Mytilus edulis: one gene and its partner. The protein of the gene in region 1 interacts with the protein of each later gene in a pairwise test. Links are inferred from orthologs where the notes say so. Each region holds a gene or a part of one and is shown in the gene's direction. Other genes may lie near its edges.

Region 1 (9,909 bases):
GTTATCTGAATTTAATGTCATTTCATTGCTCTGTTAGAAAATGGAAATTAAAATTTTACATTTTATTGCAATAAAATATTTTCTTCTTGCTGTTGGACTCGTCATGGCTAAAAATGACGAGTCCCTGGACTCGCCTTCAAAAATCCTTAGTGAGAACCCTGGGAATGGTTTTGGCTCACTGTTAAACATGTTAACATCTAAGTTTTATGTCGTTTGGTCTCTGGTGTTGAATTGTCTCATTGGCAATCATACCAAATCATCTTATTTTTATAATGTGTCTGATTTTTCTTATTTTTACCAAAGTCAGATTTGCTTTTACTACTTAGTTTTTGATAGAAACTCAAACTGCATTTTACCATAATGTTCCACTTTAAGTCATATACAAAAAAACTTGATTTAGGTAAAGTTTTTACCTGTTTGGCCTCGAAGTTTCAGAAAACAAAAAAATTTAACATATTAGATTGTAAACAAAAAATAAGTCCTCAGTTTTATTTGTATTTTTCAAGCAAGACAGACTATAAGGGTTCTTTCTTCTATTTAACTTTTAAAAGTATCAATTTATCACATTAAGTTAAGTAGCTTTTATAAATATAAAGATATTTTCATGATAAAAACTAAGCACAAACATGACAAAGGAAACAACGATTCAAGTTATTTTTAAATCAGGTTTCATATGATTCAGATTGCCATATGGCCTTCAACAATGAACAAAGCCCATACTGCATAGCCAGCTAGTATTGCCCTGAAAGCACAAGTGTAAACATTTCAAACAAGAAAACTAACGGCATAATTATAGCCTTTAGAGCCTAACAATCGATGAAAACTATTGATTTTTATGTGAGTTGCAGGGTTGACAGATTAATGTCTCGATAATAAAAACTTTCATTCTAAACCAATTTTTTTTCTTCCTATCTTTTACCTGAACATTTTTTCTGAAGATTTTCTATTTCCTTGTGTAAGCCTTTTAATGTTTCTGCATGTTCTTGTTGCATAAACAGGATGGCACTATCTAAATTTCTTTTGTGTATTGCAGCTTCAGACGTCATGGTGATTGGTGTTAATGCAAGCAGGTAAACTGTTCAAACTGAAATGACATTAATTGATTAAATTATGTATACAAAATGTCTATATCTAAGTTTCATTTTTCTTGATTTAGCTGGTTTAAGATTTTTGAACACACATGACATTTATGTATATACAGTCGACTCTCGTTATCTCGAAGTCAGCCGGACCAGAGAAATATTTCGAGATACACATAGTTTGACTCAAACGAAAAACGAAAGTTTGACAGAACAAGGGACACAACTCTCAATAAATCTGGGTGAATATGGGAAGGGGATCGATATTCGGGTATCAGATCGATGTAATTACAGTATTTGTATGTCATGGTCTTTCATTATTATAATAACATTACTTTTACCTATTCAATTGTTTCAGTTACAATTTTTTCCTATGGCTTTTATCTGAGAGAGTAATTTCAATCGATAGTTTCGTTATTCAGGTTGTTTATAGTTGACACAACTGTTTATTCTTGGATACGAGAGATTTTAGAAAATTTTGATTTTTCTTCATTTTGTTTTATCTCACTCTTTCTTTTCAAAAGAAAATACAACAAGATTAAAGATGCTGATTGAGTATTTTTGAGGTGATCATCAACGGAAGTCATAATCCTTACCTTATACGTGACACAAGCTCATTAGTGTAAATCACAATTAATTGTTTTGTTAACATTTTAATACGTTTTCATGAACATTAACAATGTATCACTAATTATTAATAAAAATTCTATAAAAGATAATCTTATGTAAACACTCGTGGAAATACAAAATGTAGCATGTCATACATCAATATAGTGGTCAGTGACTGGAAATTTAATTACAATTACACGTGTATTGTCAGATTAACTCTTCAATCCATTTAAATGCTGGAGGTCATGTTTTGACATATGTGTATTAGTTCGAGATAAATAATGAATTCCAAATGCTTTTCTTAACCTAGGGATTGTAAATTTAGGTGGACTCAACTGAAATTTTGAGGAGTCAAATTCCATACATTTATATGTAACAAAGTGTGAGACCACCTGAAAACTTCGACGCATCTAAAATTTTGAGTCAACCGAGTTCGAGACGAGAGTTAACTGTATTTATATATTGGCGAGGGAAGAACAAAAAATTTGCGAAAGCAAATTTACAGATCTAACATTGTTGGGTTGATGTTTAGACGAGTTGTATATACATAATGTACACAGCCATGTATCACCATCACTGTTGGTGATCCGATAGATAAATCTGTTGTAGAGTTGTCACGGGCTTAGACGTACTTATATATATATATATATACAACTCATCTAAACATCAACCCAACAATGTTCGATCTGTAAATTTGCTTTCGCAAATGTTTTGTTCTTCCCTTGCCGGGATTCGAACCCATGCTACTGAGATATTGTGACACCAAATTGCCTGCACGGTAGTCTTCCCTCTAGACCACACAACCACCTGGGCTTCATAAAAATAAAGCTTTCGTTGGCCAGGTGTTACCTTTCCAAGTCAGTTTTAATCTAGCGTCGTACTATATATATAGCTACACAGTACATGATATATAAGGCATGGAGATGTAGTTTTTTACAGATCAGCTAAATTATCTATAGTAAAGGATCCTACAAATTAATGTTAGATACAGTCACAGAAAATAATTATATTTATAAGTACGTCTGAGCCAGTGACAACTCTACAACAGATTTACCCATCGGATGTATTAGAATAAAAATCAAGTTTATTTTCCTAGCAGCTAGACAAATAGAAAATACATTGTAGCTGTCTTATTCTTGCTTATTATTTTCTAGAACTTGACACCAATATGTATGCTTTGCATGATGTGCTTACTATTTTATGTCTTGTGCTTATCATATATATGTCAGTGTTCTCCCATGGCTGTTTTAGCACAGCGATTTTTAGCACTAATTTTTGGTAAGGCAGCAATTCTACAGTAATGAATTTTACCTTTTGAAAACAATTGAGAGGATATGATTAGAAAAACAAACCCCAAGCTGAAACGACTTGAGAAATTCTCGATGTCCAGCTTGGATGAACTTGAAGCCATTTGAATATTATATAACGTTAAGGTCAGAAAAATGACAAATCATTATGCTAAAAAATGTCAATTCCTGTCAAACGTTGTAAGGTTAACAGTACACTGCTATAATGGGTTACAAAACCATACACAGAAGATGACAATGACTTTATTGTTGGTCCTACATGTTCTGAAACATCACCTGTTAGTGATAAGAAATCTTCACATAGACAGTCTGGTATAGACCCATCATAGAAAAGACTTCTCCTTGGGTTTTTAACACAGATAATATGAGGAATTTACATAAAGAGAAAAAAAAGATATTTCTTCTACATGTATCATGTCTATATCCAGACAATAACATTAGCAAACAAAGGGGTAACTTCCATGAGCATGATGAGGACATCATTACAAGAGACAACATCAATAGCATTATATAAGAAAAACACAAATCAATTACAAACCAACCGCGCGCCGCGACAAAGTAACTGAGAATTGTTGAAAATCACATGCTTACCACAGTGCTATCCAAAAATCCTGGGGAGAACACGTACATTGTATGTACACATGTATGTCGAATAAAACCTCTACAGAGCTTATGTTATATTTTTGTATGTATACCCCACTTTAAATCAAACTTTTATGCTTATGCTTTGAGTATTTTTTAAATTTTGACTCAATGACTTTGAGATGATGAACAGCAATGAACATAATCATGATAATGAAAGGGCTGTTCCTTTGCTTTTTTGTGTGTTTTTACTGTGCATGTACTACTGATTTTGAGTCACGAATGGATACTCTATTATCCTTTTGTACTTTTGTTTTTCTATTAACCTGAAGATGGTTTTACACTAAATGATACTAGGTAAATCAACTTAATTGGTCTTTAAATTAAGTATTTATTATTAATATTATGCTGTCATTGAACAATTGTATCTTATTGTGATGTGTAATAACATAAGTAATCTACATGATATAATGCGACCTAGACAATCTATTCAAATAGCATGATTAGAAAAAATTGTCATGTCATTGACAGTATCTCACAGCAGTCAATAGTTTTACAATATAGGATAGTGAAATCTGACCTTGTCACACATGTTCCGTTTTGAATCCGGGTCTGTTCGCGCCCAATCACATTCGCACCCATTAACGTTCGCGCCCTTTCACTTTCGCACCCAAAGTCTGTTCACACCCTACACGTTCGCGCACAATTTTCATTGGTATTATTTGTATAATTTGGAATCAAGTTTTGGTAAGCATGGTAAGTGTATTGCTATATATAAATATTTGTTTTCATTGTTTCTACATATAGTTAGATTCTGACAACGTTTTCTTAAAGTGTTGAATAAATCTTAATGATGTTTAGGCAAATGTACTGCTCTATATAAATATATTTTTTCATTTGTTTCTAAATTAAGTGAGATGCTGACGTTTTTTTATGTGTTGATAAAATCTAAATCAGGTTTTGGTTAGTGTATTGCTATAAATATTTTTTTTTACATGAGTTCAAAGCAGCCAAGCTGTTAAAAACAATTATCTTTCGAGTTTTTGATTCAAAATCTTCAAAGTTTTACTCATACCAAGCTAAATACATGCAGTATTTACATCCAAGCAATTTGCAAGTTAAAACAACAATCATGATTTTTAAGCACTCAACAATAACACCAAATTTAGCTGTGTATAATTTACCAATTAGCAGTAATCATACATAACTAACATTTAATAATTAATCATAAAATTAATAAAAAAAGTTATATTTATTATATAAATATATAATTCCTCAAATTTTATTCAAGAAAATAGAATTATTTGGTATAAATTGGGCGCGAACGTACTTCGGGGGCAAACATGTGAGGCGCGAAAGTATATTTTGCGCGAACAGACCTGATACCGTTTTGTCAGACTCGAAGATGTCTGATGCCACAAAGGTATATAGGTAATTCTTGTATGACCTAAAAAACCTGGGATCACAGATTCTCATGTCAAGCGTTGCAGACTTCCAAATAACAATAAGGTTTATATAAAATATTTCATAAGACAAAGGGGACATTATTTTTCCTTTCAAATGGCAATGCCAATCACTGATCTGGGGCACAAATTATTCAAGTCAATAGAACATATGTTCAGGACCGGCTTCGAATTTTAACAAAAACAATGCCATTCAGATATGTAGCCTTTCCTCACAACGTTATAAACGGGCGACATATTTTGACAAAGAGCAAATTTTAGAACGATTAAAATGAACAAGGTCCGTCTGAGAACATAATTTCACATTCGTAATAAAAATCGGTTATGCCATGTGTTATTTAAGAGGAGGGAGATTTTACGATCAATTACTTTACATTCACGTCGATAGCATGTTCACCAATGCTTGTATGCTGTGAGTAAGCTTTAATTGGTTGTTTACTGTCGCAGCAACATTTTCAGTCCAGATGGTTTTCCTTCGCTACAAGAATGCCGCTGAATTGTGGGTAAAATGACACCGGATGTCATTAATTAGTTTAACAAAATATATAGTTGAGATAATCTACAGCTGAATGCAAGCATATTAATTTTAAATTCAAAGAAAACCTATATAGAAGAAGAAAAATAAGATAAAAATAGTTCTCATAGTAACGAGATGTAAACAAAACGCCTTTCGGGATAATTTATGCTTTTGAAAAGTCCAGAGGTATATCGAACAATCATGAAGATGTCACAGAGCTCAACCAACGTGATTGTTTGGGAGTGGATGAATGAATTTGGACGGTGGAGACCGTATGAACCTAACGTTACACAATACATAGAAAATGCCTATCAAAATAATTCCAATCAAGTAAACCTGAGTGCAGCCGACAGCTCCTTATCTTCATACGCCATCGATTTTGTCACCACTTGCCAGATACGACTTGGAACAGGTGTATAACCGTTTATTTTTTTTCCAGATACACAATAGCATGGGTTCAAAGCGGGACCTGTCAGAGTTAAATTAAACATGAATAAATACATACTTTGCCTTTGACACTATTCTTGCCCTGGTATCTAGAATAAAGAGAAATGAAACAGGAAAATTTTATGTTTCAGAAACCAAAACTGAAAAGCCTGACCATAGAGCCGTTTGAGAGGTTTCGATGTTCGGGCTACATGTCGTTTCAGCCATACATCACTGCGGCAATGTTTACTTTGGTCATTTAGGTTACATTATGGTTTTATTCCTAATGTCTGTGCATATATACTTTTCAATGTTTTTATTAACATATGATACAAATGTAGGTATGGGATTTTGTTAGTCGGTTTGTCTGATATCAGAGGAAAAATGGTTGGACATGTAACCTGGTAACAGCCATATTAAGCTTGTTTGACGGGACAAGTTCAATCATTCTGTAGAAAATAAATTAAATCCATCTTTGATTATATCAAAGAAATAATCAATTATTAATTCTAATATTATAACCTATTATCGTCAACCAGTATAATCACAATATACATGTATCCACCTTTAGCGCAAACGCAGTACTTCATAAAAACGACTGTTCTGCATTAGGACCAACTTATGCATACTGCCAGATATTCTCAATTATACCTAGGCCATGGTTTCAGATACAATATATTTATCTCTTTTTTTCTACAGCAAAATGAACAAATCCATTTCAATTCATTTTTCATGACCCAGTAGAATTTCATAAAATGAAAATTCCACGAACATGACCAAAGGATGCTATTGTCTTGGCATGGCAATGAAACAAGGTGACGTCACAAGTATGTTTCTGAAAACAAAAAATATTTTTGGGACAAGTTACATCATTGTACATTGTATAATTCCATTTTGACAAATAAGTTTTTGGTACATGTTGGACAAGTTGAAAAAAAGTTATTGTAGATCAAGAGGCCTGACAATGTTATAAAAGATATATATATAACATTTGTATAAATGAAAGTATATACATTGTACATGTATATCAAAGTGTCTATAAATATGAAATAAAACCTATGGCTGAAACCTCTTTTATTACGTGGCCAAAGGGGTACCCAGACAAAACTCCAAGGCCTAATCAACCAAGGACAATCCAACTCGCCAAAACTTCTTTACCCCCTTAGAGCATAAAAACAGCCCAGGCTTAAAGGGAAACTTCGCCAAAAAATCAAAAATTGATATTATGTTTATTCTGTATAAAAATGCTCAAATTCATAGATATTAAAGTTTTATTCTGCTAGATAAGAGATCACCATCGATTTTAAATTTAGAGTATCAATTCTCTGCTGTCACCCATTATGTCACCTTCTCCGATTTGCAGTCACGATATGTCTAAGGACCAAAACTACAGTAACCCGATGTAGTTGTAATTGAGTGTCGATATCTTGTCAATTGTACGGTTGTTTTATCCGACTAGTTAACTAGTTAACTTACTTGATACGGAAAATTTTCTTCTTTTCTTTTTAAATAACCATGATCTGTTATTTTTAGACTGATAATATAGGAATTTAATAGTGAAAAAGTCAAAATTTCAAATCATAAATAAGTCTTCCGTGAAACTTGAATTGTTTTCGGAAATCTAATTAGTTCATAATTCTTTTATGTAATAAACTTTATTCAAATAAATTAGGATCTTCGCTCCACTGATCACCCGCATGGCTAAAGGTATTACTCCCAAAGATATTGTAGGGGGTGTGAGATGACACGTCCAGGTATTCAAGCGATTTCCTGTCGAGTTTGCAAATTCATGCATTGTTTCACTTCTTAGTGTATTGATAAGTGTACACGCCCGATAACTTATAACTTTCCATTTTGAACTATTAGGTGTATAATATGGGCAGGAATTCGCTAGTGAAATTTTAGGGTCAATAGTGTTTATCCAATTAAAAAATAAAGAAATCATGCAAATATGGAGAATAAACATTGTTTAAATATCAAAGTGGGTTAGTCTTTATTGCCACATGCAAAAAAAATGGATCCAATTAAAAAAAATCAACAAAAAATCAGCACTTGTTGTGTGCTGGCAGTTGAAAACTGTAGACAAAAAGTGTGACATTTCTGCAGTGGCAAAACCCCTAGTCATATTTAGAATATGCCTGAAGAATTGTTCTACTATAATAGTTGAAAATCAACTGCAAAATGATCGGTCTATCATTTAGAAACCCCATTTTGTACAGAATCCGATTATTGCTGCAAATAAAATACGTTTGAAAATGGACAAGTGCATGTAACTTTTCCCGTCAACAAATGTTACATGCACCTTTTCATTAGCTGATTAGCTTTGGAAACAAGTTATTGGTCCAGCATGGCAAATTTTGAAAGGTGTCAACAATGGTTACAATTTGGATTTCATGATTTTTATCAATCAACTGAAGTTTGAAAAATATAGAAGGTAAGAAAATTTATTTCATTTTCGTGTCAATACTGCCCAATAATACTCATCTTTTTATAACAGTTGTATACTTTTTATAGTAAGCATTACCATAATTATTTTTTTCACATTTCAACCCACTGACAATTACATTAAAATGTGGCTTTGTCATCTTTCACACTTGGCATCTACCAGTGAGCAAGCAGATGATAAGAGAGTGGGACCAGGTTAATTTGACCTCACAATGAAGTGTTACATGCACTTTTTGTGTAAATTAGGTTCTTTGATAATGATGTGTGACTTGCTTTGCAATTTTGTCAAAAAATATAAGTTTATCTTGTATTTAAACAGGTTTGACCCTTACGATATTCATTTTATTGCTGGAGAGATTTCTGTACATAACATTGACACGAAAATATTTACCAAGGAAAGGTGTCTATGATACATGCAAAAGCTTTTTTTTGTACGGTTTGCCTTATCAATCTAATTTTTTACATGAAATACCACAGATTAATTGCCAATTTGATTAACTAGTACTTGTATTCATTCTCAGCATTATAAAGATAACTGGCCACTTAATTTGAAAACATAAAATGTAACATTGACACCAGAATAAAAACAATATTACTTTATTACACTTAAAGCATAATTGGCCAGTGCATAATATTAAATCAAATGTAAATTTATGCTGTATTCTTAACAGAGAAGTTGTTGATCTTTCTTAATTTCTAGACTTTACAATATTTACTTTTAATTCTTATCGTTTAAAGACATGTAACATTGACACATCTTCTGCGTCCAGGTTACATGCTACAACCTAATAAATGTGCATACAATTATTCAATCAATAAAATCTTGTTGAAATTTAAATTTGCTTCATTAAAATGATATTAAAGAAATAAATGAGTTTTAATTATTTGTGTTTATTTTTTTCCTGATTGACTAGCAATTTTTCCTCATCATTTGTTGGTGTTCCTGTCAATGTTACATACATAACCCTGTCCCAGAATTATAATGTTTTAAAAGCATTGATTTCCAAACCTCTGTTATGAGCTTTAAAATGAGGATATCTGAGTTTATAAATGACTAACATCTGAAATATTGTCATCACACAATTTCTTTGATGCTCCTATGATAACTTTATGAGTAACATGGACTACAATTTTTGCATCAGGTCTTTTTTGTGTTATATGAGAAGATTTTACTGTGTTGAAATCAACAGTTAATCTAATTTTTAATATTCAAAGTTAATATTATGATACTTATTTTAAAAAATAATGTATAAAGGAAACCCAAATTAAACTTTTTTTTCATTAAGAAATTGTGTATGTAACATTGACAGAGTCTATTATTTAGACTTTTACATGTTCAGGCCAGTGTTACATGCGTAAACAAAACTTACTGCCATATGGAGCTATTATCTTATTTTTATTTTACAAAATTAAAGCGTTTTCATGTTTTCCTGTTTAATTTGTCTTTTAACACTAGTTAGTAACATTGACAACAATATTTT
Region 2 (10,233 bases), on another chromosome or scaffold:
GATATGCCAAATCTAACTGTGTATGTAGATTCTTAATTTTTGGTCCTGTTTTCAAATTGGTCTACATTAAAGTCCAAAGGGTCCAAAATTAAACTAAGTTTGATTTTAACAAAAATTGAATTCTTGGGCTCTTTTGACATGCTGAATCTAAACATGTACTTAGATTTTTGATTATTGGCCCAGTTTTCAAGTTGGTTCAAATCAGGATCCAAAATTATATTAAGTATTGTGCAATAGCAAGAAATTTTCAATTGCACAGTATTGTGCAATAGCAAGACATTTTCAATTGCACAGTATTGTGCAATAGCAAATATTTTCAATTACACAGTAATGTGCTATAGCAAGAAATATCTAATTGCACAATATTGTGCAATAGCAAGAAATTTTCAATTGGAGTTATCTTTCTTTGTCCAGAATAGTAGTTGAATCAACTTAAAGCATTGTTTTATACAATATACAATGTATATTCACTTTTACTACCAACTGATAAATTAAAACAATCTTTACCATTCAGTGATAACAAGCACTTTATTTTACATTTTAATATTTTATGATGTATTTAAATGAGTAGTTATTGTTGCAAACTCCATTAAAAATTTGAATTGAGATAAGTTTTGGAAAAAGGGAAAGGGGGATGTGAAAAAAAATGGGGGGGGGGGGGGTTAAATTTTTCTCATTTCAGATTTCATAAATAAAAAGAATTTTTTTTTGAGAGGATTAATATTCAACAGCATATATTGAATTGCTCAAAGGCAAAAAAAATATTTTAAGTTCATTAGACCACATTCATTCTGTGTCAGAAACCTAAGCTGTGTCAACTATTTAATCACAATCCAAATGTAGAGCTGAATCCAGCTTGAATGTTGTGTCCATACTTGCCCCAACTGTTCAGGGTTCAATCTCCGCGGTCGTATAAAGCTGCGCCCTGCAGAGCATCTGGTTCACCATTGCTACTTAAATAGGTTAACTTAACTTCAATGCCCTGTCCATGTCATGACAGTAGAGGGTGTCATATGTTTTGACCTCTGTTTATGGGAGTGTCCATGCATCTTGAATCAGAATATATTTTGGTTCAAGATCATTTACCCATGAGGTTGTCATGGTCCCATCATATTAAAATTAGTCTGCATATTCATTATGATGGAATGTAATTTGCTCATTGTTGAAGGCCATACTGTGACTTTTTCTGTGGTGTGTGGTGGAAAGTTGTCTTATTGTCAATTATACGTTATCTCCTTAAATCGCGAGACACCAACATTTATTGTATTTCGGTTAAATTGTCGTTGAAGTGTTTCTATCTTCAAGAAAATGTAAACTTTATTTATGCTACATGTAAGTGGAATAAAGAGTGACATCTTCAAATACATACATGCATAAGTATTTACTGTGCCTAACCGATCACCTTTGGGGTATTATAATACCTACAGTGTTACCTGGATAAAAAAATTGTCAACACAATTTGTCCATTTAAACTGTACAATAGGTTTTGTGAGAGATTATCAATAGGTGGTCATTTAACTACCTGTAGATTTTACCTGGTTGTTTTTTGCCCTAAATTTTTTTTTCAGGTAGTTAAATGACCACCTATTGATAATCTCTCACAAAACCTATTGTACAGTTTAAATGGACAAATTGTGTTGACAATTTTTTATCCAGGTAACACTGTAGGTATTATAATACCCCAAAGGTGATCGGTTAGGCACAGTAATAAGACTAAATTAAGGAAGATCTCATGTTACATGAGTACATATACATATTTTTAAAATATGCATATCTTTCTCCAACATTTGTATACAACAACAACAGATTTTTATGCATTTCAAAATGTATGATAGAAATGGTATTACAGTATATTGGTAGAATTTATTAGTGCATCTTTTGAAGCTAAACGATGAAACATTTGAATTCTCTTGGTGTCTCACTAGGAAATGGAATCAATTTTCCGCCATTTACTGTACTTGAGGAAACACCATCAGAGTTATCTAATAAAGGTAATGACAAGTTGTGTGAGTATAATCAAGAGTGAAAGTTGTCTATTACTTCACTGATTATTGATGATACAGACAAATCTATAGATGTCTTCTCAACAACAGATGTACATTTAAGATCAGGAACAAAATTGTTGAACATTTGTACATCCTTATGCTTTAAAAATTCTTACAACCTCATGAGAGTGGTTACACATTTAACCCAAACTATATTTAAAAGTACATACATATTAATAAAAATATTAGAATGAATTGTTTCATGTTCGTATTTGATTTTGTTTCTTCGGAAAAAGGGTAAATACCGTAGTCTATTAACTGTACAACAGATCTAGACTTATATCCTTTTGTTGAAACCTTGAGGATACATTCGCACATTGGTGTTTACATGAAAAGCATGTCAGGAAGGTAGTTATTGTAACAATCTAAAAATATCAACAATATACGCAGGTGATTAAAATTCATTATTCAATTAAAGTAAAACATTAAATCTTTGACATGTGCTAAATGGCAAAGAACTGCTATTTCTAAGACAAATTGGGATAAGCATTACTACAAGACTTAAGCTAATAATACTGCCTGGCTATTAGATCCCATTACCATCATGTAGCATGTGTCATCTTACTGAGCTGCCATTGACCTTATAGAAAGGGTAAATAAACTTATCAGAAACCTTATCAGAAACCAATGGACAAGTGGAAACCCAACTTGGATCAAACAATTAATTAAAAATGGTTAAATAGGGAAAATGATATAGTTTTTTTATGAACTAAATCATTTCTTTGTAATTGTTTACAGCTGTGTAATTACTTGTTACAAATTGTGCATTTGCTGACAACAGTGGCAGATCCAGGGGGATGGTTCTGGGGTCCTTTTTTTGGACTATCAATGCATTTAAATGGGAACATATAGTTGGACCCCCCCATGGACCATTATTAAATATCTGTGTCATATATATATATATAGATGAACATATTAGCCACCACAACCATAGGTTTATATTTTAGGTTTGTTTGTAGTGTTGAACAAACAGAACTGTCTATAGCCAGATCTACAAATAAAAATTCATATCTTTATTGAATTATTTGGACAAAGATACAATTTACTGTATACTGAAAACCAAAGTCAAATCTTAGATATTAAATAAAGTTGACAATCATTTCAAGCTTGATTATTCCACACAATAATTATAATAGTCTTGCAGATACAAGCTGTGATGGTTTGTACTTTAATAGAAAGTCAAGATAACCAGTGTTGAAATAAAAAAAAAATAAGTAGACATCTATCCACCAGAGACCAAATGATGTAGATAGTAGCATGGTACAGTGTGGATAGTTATTAGATTTAAACTTCAGACAAATTTTTAAACACTTCCCTTATATAATTACAGACATTAGAGAGGTAGTGACAGAGATAGACGTACCTTCTTAATTTATAGCTCTTTCTCTATTGAAAATATATACTTATACTTTGAAATTGCTCAATATTTAATTAAGTCTAATCAATTTTAAAATACAATTACATTTTTTCATTTTGTTAGTAATGTTTTTTTTTAATTTGAATGGATACTACTCTGTAGAATGCCTAAGATAAACTTGATTACCCCAGGCTTATGGACTAGTAGCAGTTACATGTAGCACATATTGATTGCTAGTACATGTAGCTGTACACAAATTGACAAATAATAATTACTAGTAGCTGTCAACACATTAGGATAACTAGTAGCTGTCAACACATTAGGATAACTAGTAGCTGTCAACACATTAGGATAACTAGTAGCTGTCAACACATTAGGATAACTAGTAGCTGTCAACTAATAAAGATTACTATTAGCTATTAACAAAATCATGTTTGTTCAGTAGAAGTCACCACAAGAATTATTAGTAGCTGTCAACTCATAATGATTACTAGTAGCTGTCATCACATTAGGATTACTAGTAGCTGTCAACTCATCAGGATAACTAGTAGCTGTCAACACATCAGGGTTATGAGTAGCTGTCAACATATCAGGATTACTGGTAGCTGTCAACACACTAGTATTACTAGCAGCTGTCAACACATCAGGATTACTAGTAGATGTCAACACATCAGGATTACTAGTAGCTGTCAACTCATCAGAATTACTAGTAGCAGTCAATTCATTCAGATTGCTAGTAGCTGTCAACAAATCAGGATTACTGGTAGCTGTCAACTCATTAGAATTTCTAGTAGCTGTCAACTCATCAGGATTTCTGGTAGTTGTCAAATCATCAGGATTACTAGTAGCTGTCAACTCATCAGGATTACTAGTAGCTGTCAATGCATCAGTATTACTAGTAGCTGTCAACACACCAGAATTACTAGTAGCTGTCAACTCATCAGAATTACTAGTAGCCGTCAATACACCAGGATTACAAGTAGCTGGCAATACACCAGGATTACTAGTAGCAGTCAATTCATACGGATTACTAGTAGCTATCAACACACCAGGATTACTAGTAGCTGTCAACTCATCAGGGTTACTAGTAGCTGTCAACTTATCAGGATGACTAGTAGCTGTCAACTTATTAGGACTACTAGTAGCTGTCAACACACCAGGATTACTAGTAGCAGTCAATTCATACAGATTACTAGTAGCTATCAACACACAAGGATTACTAGTAGCTGTCAACTCATCAGGGTTACTAGAAGCTGTCAACTTATCAGGATTACTAGTAGCTGTCAACTTATAAGAACTACTAGTAGCTCTCAACTTATAAGAACTACTAGTAGCTGTCAACACACCAGGATTACTAGTAGCAGTCAATTCAAACGCATTACGAGTAGCTGTCAACACTACAGGATTACTAGTAGCTGTCAACACATCAGGATTACTGGTAGCTGTCAACACATAGGGATTACTAGAACCTGTCAACACAGCAGGATTACTAGTAGCTGTCAACACATCAGGATTACTAGTAGCTGTCAACTCATCAGGGTTACTAGTAGCTGTCAACTTATCAGGATTACTAGTAGCTGTCAACTTATTAGGACTACTAGTAGCTGTCAACACACCAGGATTACTAGTAGCAATCAATTCAAACGGATTACGAGTAGCTGTCAACACTACAGGATTACTAGTAGCTGTCAACACAGCATGATTACTAGTAGCTGTCAACACATCAGGATTACTAGTAGCTGTCAACACATCAGGAATACTTGTTAGTAGGAGCTGTCAACACATCAGGAATACTTGTTAGTAGGAGCTGTCAAGACATCAGGATTACTAGTAGCTGTCAACACATAAGGATTACTAGTAGCAGTCAATTCATACAGATTACTAGTAGCTATCAACACACAAGGATTACTAGTAGCTGTCAACTTATAAGAACTACTAGTAGCTGTCAACACACCAGGATTACTACAATCATCACTTAAGAATTACTACTATGTCTTATATCATTCCCAACAATTTGGTATTTGTTTCATGGTCTGTGCCATCATCACTTTTTTCTGAGAGCCGTTTTTTTTTGCATTCACAAGAGTTTGGTTGGCTGCACAATAGTTAATATAAGTAACTAATAAAGTCAACACATACATGTATATATAAAAAAAATCATATTATTATTCAATTCCTACACATTAATTTGTTAAGTTAAGTCCCAACAAACATGGATGAAAAGTCATGAAATATTTGACACTGGACACTACATAAGCAGACAACACAAATCAATAAACCAACAAACAAAATTATGTTGACATTTTCCATTGATTTCATGATAAATTATGAACTATGAAAATCAAATAAGTTGTGAAAAATTAATGAAATAGGAATGTCACAAGTCAAAATATGCTGGATATTCATTTGCATTAATGCAGCATCTGTACTTCTATGTACATGTATGAGATATTGTCAGTTTGTCAAAATGGTGTATAATTCATTAAGTGAGATAGATACTGAAATTATAATGGAACAAAGTATGAGGTAGGTTACTATTGAGGCATGTATCATGTTGTAATGTTCTCTGATTTATATTCTAATTGGTTTTAGACCATATATGGCATCAGGGATCTCAATGGCCTGTTTAATGATGGCGCCCCACCATCGTTCAAATGTCTTGCGCCATCGTCATATGACTTGCGCCATTGTCAAATGACTTACGCCATCGTCAAATGACTTGCGCCATCGTTAAATTGTCTTCCGCCATCGTTCAAAACTTCATCGTTTTGTTGTAGCTGGAAATCAGCCATACCGGTAATGGGTTCTGAATTTGACAGTGTCCATGAAAAATAAGCTCCACATCATATGATTTTTAACCCCCATAACAATTACCAAAAATACAAGAAATCTACATGGGTACCTTCATGACAGCTTTTGGTCATTTTCGACTAAGGGAGGACCATGAAGACTTGGCATTTGAATGGTTAAAAACGGCAATAAATGAAAATATTGATGCTTCTAATTCTATAATGAAAATTCAAATAAATATAATTTAAATAAGCAATGAATTAGCATGTTCACCATTCCTTGTATGGAGGGATAAAATACTTCCGATCGCGCTACACTGTACAGCGTAGACACAGTTTGTAATGGTGAAAGTTCCTCCATCGTTCAATTTTCATCCATGGAGATCCCTGGGCATACAAAACAAAATCAAACTATACTTTTTTACTTGGTGTATAGGGATGCAGTTTCAGTTTCAGCAAATTATAGTCGCTTTGACCTTCATCCAATGCTTTTTAAAATGCCTTAATTAGAAATAAACAACCTAGCTCTTGCCTCTTGAGTTCACATCAAGAAGCATGTAAGTGTGTGTGATAACATGTGCTTAATGATTGACTTCAAACACTAGTAGGTTTCTCTGATATTTTACTCCTTTAGACCCTGTGGATTCATTATTATTCAGTGGATACAAAATTTTGTGGATTTTGTGGATTTAGGTGAAACAAGAAATTAAATAATCAACGAATGACAAATTTTATAATGGCGTGTATGAAGACTTTGCCAAAACCACAAAATTAGATATACATGAACATGGAAGTTTTCCTTCATCCACGAAAAATTAGTACCCTGAAAATAAATGAACTTTTGATTCAATATAGTTAATTTACAAGTATTTTATTCCTGCACTGTGAAGTAGTCCAGCAACTCTTAAAATATTTCTTTAAGACAAGTGTTTAAAGGATTCTTTTCTGTATACTTGGGTTATAGTTTTAATTGATGAAGGTAACACTGTCACCGTAACAGATCTCTGAATTTTAGCTTACCTGACCATAAGGCCAAGTGAGCTTTTCTCATCTATTGGCGTCCATCGTCTCTTATTTTCAGCCATACACCATTAACTTTTACAAAAATCTTCTTCTTTAAAATTATTGGACCAAAAATCAAAACTTGGCCACAATCATCATTATGGGGATCTAGCTTACAAAATGGGTCCAATGACCCCATTTGCAAATCAAAATGGCCAACATGGCTATATAATAGAACAAAGGGGTGAAATGCAAGTTTTGTCAATTATTTTGGAAACTGTTATAAATAGATAAAATCTGACAAGGGCAGAAATGGTGTGAGTTTTCATCGTCGATCAACTCCTTATTAGAGTTTGTAGAGTTATTGCCCTTTGATGACAACTGTTACTTTTTTGGGTTTTTTTGCCTTATATCAGTACATGTAAACTTTAAAATTACAATGATCAACAAGGCAAGTTCTACAATGAAGTCAATTTCTAATAATATAGCTAATAGACAGTCACTCTTTATAGAAGTGATAGACAAAACAAACAAAAAAGGTGAGCAACACATGCTCTTTCAAGAGCCTCTAGTTTGATTGAATTGAAAATTTTGTAGCATACAAGTCCATTCTGTTATTGTGAAATAGTTCAGACTAATTCATAGTCTTATTTCACTTCCTCCCAGACCATCATAAGTCCATCCTGTAATAAAGACATAGTTCAGCCTGTTCTTTGACTTATTGCACCTTCTCTCTGACCCTTATAAGCTCATCCTGTGTTTTGACATAGTTCAGACTAATTCATTGTCTTATTGCACCTCCACAGTCTGTCATAAGCTCATCCTGTTATCAAGACATAGTTCTGACTGTTCTTTGACTTATTAGGCCTTCTTCCATACCACCAAGGGTAATGTAACTCAGCCTTGACATATAGATCTTGGTAAAATCATGATAACCAGATTTCTCAAGAGTCAGTATTGTATATTCAGCAGATATAAATCATGATACTCAAAAGTTCATTCTGACTTCTGATCAATAAATATACAGAAAGGATTTTCACTTGAAGTTATTGATTTTGTACTTAAAAGTTACAATGATTCCAGTACAGAATCACTCATGTGTGTAAAAACATAAGGATTAGAGGAAGTCTTTTGTTTTTTCAAATTTTGAATTATAAACAAAGCAGTGTTGATGTAACCGAAGCATATATTTGTCTTTTTACATATTTGGTATTAGGCTTTCATCGCAAGGGAATGGACTTGTCTTGACCACAAAATAAAAAGTCCATTCATATTTTAATTCGTTGCCAAGTATTACTGCACGAGATTTTGAATTTCATGGTACTACACATACAATCTCAGTCAATGATTATTGACAATCAGTGCGACCAGAATCCCTAAGATGTATATCAAATGATATGTTAAAATTCAGAAAGCTTCTTAAACAAAACCAAGTTGAATTTGACTCTTTTAACCCTGTGATTAAGGCAACATCATTTCTTTTTTTTTCTTCATATATATATGACGCCCGTCAAGCAAAAACCACCCTTATCGCATTTGACGTCGTTATCGGTAGTCAACGCTAAAATGTAACGTAGAACAAACCGATAAATTGCACGTTGAAATTGAAATATTTTTTCTAAACATCATAGCGTTATCCATGCGAACTGAATAGTATATTCTTATATTACATATAAATGCTTCTGTAAAATAATGCCGTATTTACGATTTAAAATTTAATCTTGTGATAAATTTCTATTCAAACTTTTCAAATGCTTGTTTTGGCATACGCTGTATATTCTTATTGTCTTGAGAGGAATGATTTATAAACAATATAATAAAATCCCACACATCACCATGTCTCATTAATACATAGTACCACGATATGTGATGATACACGTATTAACCTTCTACAATATATAAACAATACCAATGTTGTGTAAAAAAAAAACCACTTAAATATTTTCTAAAAGTTTTTTTCCGCAGCTGGATTTCTTTTATACTTTTAATACGGGAAGTTATTGTATGAAGAACCTAAGAAAATAATTTAATATTTGGCGCAACATTATGCATGCCAAATGCGGAAAATCTTGCATGGTTAATCACACGAGAGAGTTTGCTTACAAGAAATTAAGTACGAAAGAGAAGAAAGTCTGTCTGAAATTTTTCGTCTTTTATTTTGCCACGCTTTAAGGAACATGTGTACTAAGTTTCAAGTTGATTGGACTTCAAATTCATCAAAATCTACCTTGACCAAAAACTTTAACCTGAACTGGGACGAACGAACGGACGAACGAACGAACGGACCCACAGATCAGAAAACATAATGCCCTCTACTATCGTAGGTGGGGTATAAAAATTTGCAATGCGTTTAAAACTGTTAGTATGAAACACATATCAGTTCATAATTATGTCACTCACTTTAAAAAAAAGTGTGGGTATACTGTTTAACCTCTGTCTGTCCGTTAGTCAATCAATCCGTCAGTCCGTCCGTTCGTCCCATGAATATATTCGTCGCATATCTTTTAGGAACTACATTACAAGGATTTCTGAAATTTGGTTTCAGGGTTTATATAATTCAGTTATATCGTGCGATGCGTTTTCAGATTCATCACTCAACAACTTCCTGTTTACCGAAATATTTCGACGGGGGTATCATCAGTAAGCAGTAAATCAATGTTTAACTTGTTTTATAAATGCTTTAAAAGTTTACTTAAATCTCCTACAAAAATTGCCAAAATCGGTTTTAGAGATCCCGGCCACTCATCTTCTAAGTGGAAAGGGGATGGAATTAACTCTGCTCATACGGCACAAAAACTATAATAAACCTAAAATTCGGTTCTTTGGTCAGGATGTTGTCTTTTTGACAGATTCTGCATTACCTTTCTCAATTTTATTCAGGACAAGTTTTATCTTAATTCTTGTTTTACATTTTCTAAAAGTAAACAAAATATAGGTGTTCTGCATCCATTCGAAAACAAATCTTTTAATCTTTTTTTCTTAAATGGTCTGTGTGGTAGGCCATGAAGAAACAAAACAACAAAGAAAGGAAGAAAAATCA

Evidence for each region.
Region 2: the proteins of E3 ubiquitin-protein ligase DTX4-like (region 1) and beta-arrestin-1-like interact in a two-hybrid assay, tested with the Drosophila melanogaster proteins (2 studies listed by BioGRID). The link is inferred for Mytilus edulis from reciprocal best matches to the Drosophila melanogaster genes dx and krz.

The regions. Positions count from the first base shown.
Region 1 is NC_092349.1:2,896,762-2,906,670, forward strand, and holds the start of E3 ubiquitin-protein ligase DTX4-like, read left to right. Parts: upstream 1-5,716; 5' UTR 5,717-5,722; coding exon 5,723-5,969; intron 5,970-9,909. Other genes in the region: coiled-coil domain-containing protein 92-like, read right to left, coding at 920-1,046.
Region 2 is NC_092346.1:87,675,053-87,685,285, reverse strand, and holds the start of beta-arrestin-1-like, read left to right. Parts: upstream 1-5,854; 5' UTR 5,855-5,869; coding exon 5,870-5,928; intron 5,929-10,233. Other genes in the region: serine-rich adhesin for platelets-like, read right to left, coding at 3,841-5,175, 5,357-5,374.